2 linked regions of the Canis lupus familiaris genome follow. The protein of the gene in region 1 interacts with the protein of each later gene in a pairwise test. Links are inferred from orthologs where the notes say so. Each region holds a gene or a part of one and is shown on either strand. Other genes may lie near its edges.

Region 1 (3,512 bases):
ATTTCATTATGTCTCTTTGAAAATTAGGGAGGCTTTTAAACATCTCAGTAATACCAAAAAATTTAACAATAATCTTTGGTAACATAAACACATAGTTTAAATTTCTCCTATTATCTAATCCTTTAAAAGTACTTTTTTTGGGTAGTATTTATTTATTCATGAGAGACACAGAGAAGGAGGCAGAGTCACTGGCAGAGGGACAAGCAGGCTCCCTGTGGGGAGCCTGATGCGGGACTTGATCTCAGGACCCTGGGACCATGACCTAAGCCTAAGGTAGACACTCAACCACTGAGCCACCCAGACGTCCCTAAAAGTATTTTTTATAGTTTGTTCAAATTAGGATCCTAGGAAGGCCTATATATTGCAAATTCCAGGCTCTATGTAGTTTTTTCTTAGAATCTTACAGTTTTGGATTTGAATATTGGCATTGTTCATTTCATCCATCCCCATCTTTTTATAGACAAGAAAAGTTGCCAAGGGTCATGTGGCTGGTTTGTTGAGATTAGAGCTGAGATTTTCTGATTTTTAATCTTGGGTGCTTTTCATTTTAAGCAGAAAATATTTTTAAGACATGCCTTTGAAAGAAAGTTTTCCACCCTTTGATACCTCTGCATATTATAGACTATGACATGGATACAGATCCTTATCACTTGGCTTTGGGTTGTCAACCTCCAAGGTTCAAGGTATATTTATTTCAGCTGTCAGTCCCACTCAGGGCCACATGGTGGTGGTAACCACTGCTCTCGCCTTTTGTCAGACCCTTTGAACTGTTAATATGAGGCATGTCTATAAAGTGAATCCTAGGACTGTCCCAGTGTGGTGTTCTCAATTTGCTGAGCTCATTTAGCCATTCTGGACATCCTGCCTTTGATACAGTCTGCTGAGTGTATATATTCTTTTGCTTATTTTCATTCAACATGGTAGCCTGGAAATCACTCTGTATCAATTCAGTTCTTATTTTAGGAAGATTTTTTGTTTTGTTTTGTTTTTTTGTTTTTGTTTTGTTTTTAAATACTCTATTACCATAAGCTTTAGGAGTCCATGACATTGTCTTAAATAGCAGGTCACAGAGAAGGAACTCTTAGCCTGGCATTGGGAGCCTTCACTGTGTGCTGTTTGCCTTCTTCTGGCTCCCAGGATGAATTAACTTAGTTTTGCCATTTATAGAGCTATATCTCCTACCTCTTAGTGGACCCAGTTGGATTTAGGAGGGAGCCTTGTTCAGGACTGTGTGTCAGACACTGAAATCCAAAAGAATGCTGAGAATCTTTGCCACGTGCTCAGAGTAAATGATTATGGTGCTTTTTCTTGTCTTCCACAGGCCCGTCAGCTCATCTTGCAATATGGCTTGACTCTCAGTGACCTGGACCGACACCCAGAGGTAAGAGAGGGTTGGGCTGCTGTGTCTTCATCCTTTCTTATGGCTGTCACTTGCTCATGGGCTCTGGATATCTTGTTGAGTCTAGGAGAAAGGTCAGTGAGTCATACTAGATTTTCTCCTGGGATTTTGAGTATTAAATTTGGCTAAGGTCACAAGAGGAGAGGTTGTTAGTTTCCAGTACATTCCCCGTGGTTTAACCCTGAGGGCTCAGTATGAGTGTAGTGAAGGGGGATTGGACAAACCCAGGGCTGGACCCAGAGCTTCCGGGGATCCTTATACAGAGGTATGAGTGAGCCAGCCCACGGAGTTTACCACTAGGTGGAGATAAGAAGTAATCATCTGAGGCAGCCATGGAATTTGCAAACAGATTATAATTAAGTGTTGTGGCAAAGATGGTTATTAAACACATGGGCAATTCAGAGGAAACTGAACTTGATGAGAGTGAGCAGCATATTAACAACTAGCTTTTACTGAGCCCTTCCTGTATACTAGCTAAGTACTATGTTTGTATTCAACTACTTAATATCTCCAGTAGTCTTGAGGGTGCATACCATCATTACCCCATTTTACAGGTGTGAAAAAGACAGAGAGGGCAAGTCATTTGTCAAAGCCACGCTTTCTGTAATTGGTAGAGCCTGAATATGAATTCAGATGCTTTTGGCTCTAGAGCAGTGCTACTAGGTTTTGTGGGGAGAGGTGAAGTTTGAGCAGAACTGTGAAGGCAGGGTGGCCATGGCAGGAGAGAGCATTCCAGAGAGGAGTAGATGAGAACCAGGGGCATTGGGCATATGTGGATAACCCCCAGGCTGGCTGGAGTGGTAAGGACCGAGTGAGTGGTATGCATTGGTGCATGGTGGGAGAGGAGAGGCTGGACTGGAAGAGTGGAAAGGGGTTATGGCAGCTTGAGAACCAGACTGCAGATGGGGACCCGATGGTCTACTAGTCTGTGTTGTCCTGGTACACGTGGGCCTTAGAGAGTTTAGTAAGAACCATGGGAAGGGCTCACTGGGGGATTTCTGTGGGCAGAGCCAGGGCAGAGTGTGAGTCAGTGTTCAGCACTGTGAGAAGAGTGGTTTGGGCTGAAGGTAGGCCTGGAACTCACACAAAGAAGGTTGCAGCCTTCCAGGCCCCAAGAGTTGCCATGATGTAGCCTGGCCCTGGGGTTAGCGCAGGGTGTGGAGAAGCAGTATAGCCTCTCTTTTCAGACAAAGAGCAGAATCTGAAAGCATGGAAACAAGGTGAAGCTGAAGCTTTGTGCACTTTATACTTGTGCCATGCCAGGCAGCTTAAACTGACTTGTACCCTGAGGTTTCTTCATACAGCTGCTTTAAATAACCATACTTAAGACTCCCACACTGTCTACTTGGAGTCCAGGAGTGTCACGAAATACTTAGCTTCCTTGATTTCAGATCTTGAAAGATGAATGAACCCACCTGCCCCTGACTGCTCCTGGGGTTGGTGGTAGAATTTCCTAATAGTGGGAGTGGGCATGCCCGGACAGGTGCTTTGGCGGGGTCATAGTCAGGGTGCCTCAGATAATTTCCAATTGCAGATCAAATGTGTGTCAGCTTTATAACTCTTCATTGGGTTTTCTCTCTGTGCTGGAAACTGCCTTTCTTTTTGCCACTTTAGCATGGAGACTTCTGAATCAGTGTTTCTCGGCCTTTTTTCTGTTGCCCCCCTCCAGTGAAATTTTAATACCACAGGTATACTGTGTATCTTTTCTGTACTTGGGGGTGATGTCACCCACATTGGGATTGTGTACTCTTAATAATTCTAGCTCATCCACAGAGATGCCTATCAATGAGAAAAGGGAGTGTAATGTGGGTAAGAACTAGACCCATGTGTGGCTTCCAGGCTCCATATTTAGTGGACCTTAGTGGAATAGCTTAACCTCTCAGAGCCTGTTTTTTGACTGATTAAATGGGAATAACTCTACCTAACTAATAGGGCTGCTGAGGATCTGATGAGTTATTACATGTTCAAGCTTTGCACAGAGCCTCCCCTCTAATGGCTCTCAGTAGTTTCTGTATCTTTCTTCTCTCCTCCCACAGATTGACCTCGCAATTGATGGTGCTGATGAAGTAGATGCTGATCTCAATCTCATCAAGGGTGGTGGGTGAGTGTTGTG
Region 2 (3,976 bases), on another chromosome or scaffold:
TGTCAGTCTCTTAAAGAATAGTGCTTTGAGTGTGGTTTCATTTATGTCACAAAAAAAAAACAGGAAATGTACAAGTATGTCTCGGAATGGTAGTTGGCTGTGTTACACTTGACAAAATCCGGTGAGAACTGGAATTTGAAAATCGCTGCTCACGAGGTAGTGCAGAGAGGTCTTGACGTTGCTTTGTTTCCTTTCTTAACAGTTTATTGGAGTAAATGATGACTGGATTCTGTCAGAGCTCTGATTAGGAGTCAGCAAGTTGGAGGCGACGGGCAATGTTCCCCGTCAGCTTCTCACTCATTGTCTTGCAGGGCTGATAGCGATAAAGCTGGTGTCCAGTCTAACGGTGGCATTTGTGGGGATTAATTAGCTGAAAATGCACACTCGCGTCCGGAGAATAACGCATTCTCCATTAGATACCGTGTTAATTTTAGCCGAAAGCATTCCCACGCTGCACCCCCACGGTGCCCTCCCTTGCCGTGGTGCCCTCCCACTCTCCGAAGCTGCGCTGGAGACTTGCAACAAACCCGGGTCCCCAGCTCTCTGCTATAACCAAATACCGACGGACTTGGCACAGCGCAGAGGCTCGCGTGCTCGGGAGGGAAAGGGCTTTTGCCCTCTGGCTCTAAGATTATTCGGGCTCCGCCGTACGCAGCTCTGACTCTCACCGACCTAAACGTTAGACAAGTGGGTTGGGAGAGGCGGCACGAAGGAAGCCCAGCGTCCAACAACCCGCACAGCTATAGGAGCAGACCCGCGGCTCGCGGCAGCTGACTCAGCTGCGACGACGGAGCTAGCCGCAGCGGCGTAACCAGATCCGGCAGACGCGGCGGCACGCACCGGCCCCGCCGCCGCGCCACCGCGCCATAGCGCCACCGCGCCGGGCGACCGAGGCCGCAGCCAGGCACGCGACCGACCGCGCTCGGGCCCACGCCGTCCGGCCGCAGGCGAGCTCAGCAAGTTGGCGGCGCGCAGCCCGAGGCCTCAGAGGGGTGGCACGCGGCGGCGGCGGCGGCGGCGGCGGCGGCGGCGCTGACTCAGCCCGGGCTCCCATCCCAGCCCGTCCGCAGCAGCCGCAGCAGCCACCCGGGCAGTCGGCGGGGCACGAGGCCACCCCTGCCTGCGGCCCCACCCCGCCGCACCCGAGGCCGCGCAGCGTCACAGAGCGCATGCGTGCCGCGGGGGATGCCGGGAGCGCGCAGTGGCGGCACCGGCGGCGACAGCAGTCACAGCGGAGACTCCAGCGGGGACGCGAGCGGGGCGGTGACCGTGTGGGAGGTGGTCTCACTCTTGGGGAAGCTGCTGGGCACCGTCGCCGCGCTGAAGGTGGTTCTGTACCTGCTCCGGGTGTGCTTAGCGATGGCCTGGAAATCCGGCGGCGCCAGCCACTCGGAGCTAATCCACAATCTCCGCAGTAAGTGCCACCCCCGCCCAGTGTGGGGCAACTGGGCCAGGCTAGGCCCGGACTGGGTCCCCCTGGGCCGTCCGCAACGCTCTGCCTACGCCCCCAGCGGTGCGGGCTGGAGGGTACGGCGCAGGCTGGCGCCAGCAGTATCGAACGGCGTGCGCTTGCGATTGCCTCCCCCGGGACCTGTCACTCATCGGCGACGTGGACGGGAAGGGCAGGGAAGGAGCCACCGGCAGCTCTTGGTGGGGCAGGGGCAGGCGTCGCCCCACGGGCCTGGGGGAAGGGCTGCGGCGCAGGTGGTGGGGCTGTCACTCGAGTCCGCCGCCTGCTCGGTCGGGTCTGGCGGGCGAGGGGCGTGCCCTGGGGGGGGGGGGGGGGATGTTGGCCTGACCCGGAGGCTGGGCCGGATCCGAGGCGACCGCACCCTCGACCCCCGCGTCTTTCTCGCCTTCCTCCTCTCTAATAATCGGCCACGCTGCTAGCATTCTCTCCTTCCTATACTGCCTCCCCCGCCCTCCGTTTTTTCCTCTGGAGGGAGATGCCACCGTCTGATACAGGCGAGGGGAGGGAGGGAAAGATGAGAGTATTGTCATTGCGGATGCTGGGAGAAATTTCTGGGGCAGCTGTCCAGTGGAAATGTTCGCGGGGGACGGAGGAAGAAAGAATCAGAAACGCTCTTCCCGAGAGACTTGTATTTTGAGAGCTTTTAGAGATCCTGGGATCCAACCAACGATTGTGTGCGTGTGTGGAATGTTCTAGCTTTATTTCAAGGCAGTTTCTTTGTATCATTCTCTTTAGTTATTGTATTCCTTCCTTTTGCGATAATTTTAGGGTGGGATGAGTGCTGTGTTACTCTCTGTTTTTAGATCGAGATGCAGTGTTGCTGTCTGGTTGGGAGACCAGAAGGACCGCACTCCCTAATACCTTAACTCTAGTCAGAATTCATAGCACTCTGTTTGCCACCGACTTTGCGAATAATCGTACTCTGCCCACGTGGTATTTTTTAATTGTCGTATGTTATTTAGCTTTTCTTGTGCTTGTCATGTTTCCTAATTCGATTTGTAACCTCCTCGAGGGCTAGGACTTTTTTTTTTTTTTTTTTGTTTTTGATCTTTGAACTCTCTCAATACTCATTCCTTTTTTCATAAATGCAATTAAATATACGTTATATGCTTGGATCTGTGCTAGGAATACCAAGGTAAGTGAGAGAAATGAATATCCTTGTCTGGCACATGATTAGTACTTAATAGTCATTTGACTTTTTTTTTTTTTTTTTGCAGTGTTTAAAAGTTTTGAAATTGTGTCCTTTGCATTTAGTAATGAAAAATGTTTAGATTTCAAAATTCTGTCAAGCATTGCCAGTGTTCACTTTATGGAAGGATATTTGAGTGGAAGTGGATATTTATACGCTGAGACAGTGTTTTTAAGTGTGATTTAGGTTCCCATGGATTACACATAAGCTCAGTATGTTGTAAATATTTTAATAACATTTCTTAAAATGATCTAGTGCCTGCTTTTTCAGTGTACACGTCCAAAACATTCTATGCACAAATTATGATTAAGTAATTTTCCACTGGTAAATTATCACAGGAGATACTTGGCTATGGCAGAAATTTGTAATCATGCTCTTCATGACTCTTCTTTTGGGGCCAAACTTGTAAGTCAAAACTAGCTCTTTTCCCAGTGGTTTTATAATCATTTTATTGCATCATGCATTTATTGCATTTATAGAATTCCTAGCTGAAACGTTTAAGGATGTTTTTCTGTCAGAAAATTTAATAATAAGTATTTAACATACATGGATGTTAATACTGCAAATATTTAATCTTATACTGTATCCATGATTCATGATAGGAAATTAGAGTGCTCAAAATGTGTAGCCTCTTGTGACACTTGTGCAATGTTAGTTTACTTTCTGAATTCTAGCTAATAGACTTCGTTTCTATTTATTAGTTTATTATGAAAGTACTATTTTCTCATGTGAGAATTTCAACTGGCACAAAATTTGAAAATTTCTCCCTTTTCCTAGTTATTCTACTGTTGTGTGTTCCTCCTAACTTAAAGGCTTCTAGTTGAATCTTTAGAAAAAGATTAAAGTGTGATTATATTGTGGAATAACTATATTGTACCCTTAAAACTAATATAGTGCTAAACTGTTAACTATACTGGAATTAAAATAAAAGACTTAAAAAATGTGTTATGTTGATGTTGAACTGAAAAAGGATCTGCAGATCTGAAGAGGAAGCAAATTATAGTTGTACATTAAAAAAAATAAAGTTCATGATTGCTTTAATTTTAATATTATGATCATATTGAAAATAACTACTGAGTTTTCCTTTTATAAGATGTCATAATAGAAATATGGTTGTGTATGATTTCATAGTTGATAAATCATTTACAGAATATTGTAGAATGTATATGGTATATCTCATAATATTTCATAGCTTATATTATGACAACCACTCTTTTTTTTTTTTTTTAATTTATTTATGATAGTCACAGAGAGAGAGAGGCACAGAGACACAGGCAGAGGGAGAAGCAGGCTCCATGCACCGGGAGCCCGATGTG

The links.
Region 2: the proteins of RPIA (region 1) and PCMT1 interact in binary tests that used the Homo sapiens proteins (3 or more experiments, as listed by UniProt). The two-hybrid records come from large-scale screens. The link is inferred for Canis lupus familiaris from reciprocal best matches to the Homo sapiens genes RPIA and PCMT1.

The regions. Positions count from the first base shown.
Region 1 is NC_049238.1:38,101,791-38,105,302, reverse strand, and holds part of RPIA (ribose-5-phosphate isomerase), read left to right. Parts: intron 1-1,182; exon of another isoform or gene 1,183-1,321; coding exon 1,322-1,381; exon of another isoform or gene 1,382-1,462; intron 1,463-3,435; coding exon 3,436-3,500; intron 3,501-3,512. UniProt on the Homo sapiens protein: Catalyzes the reversible conversion of ribose-5-phosphate to ribulose 5-phosphate and participates in the first step of the non-oxidative branch of the pentose phosphate pathway.
Region 2 is NC_049222.1:40,757,503-40,761,478, forward strand, and holds the start of PCMT1 (protein-L-isoaspartate(D-aspartate) O-methyltransferase), read left to right. Parts: upstream 1-1,170; 5' UTR 1,171-1,185; coding exon 1,186-1,414; intron 1,415-3,976. UniProt on the Homo sapiens protein: Initiates the repair of damaged proteins by catalyzing methyl esterification of L-isoaspartyl and D-aspartyl residues produced by spontaneous isomerization and racemization of L-aspartyl and L-asparaginyl residues in aging peptides and proteins.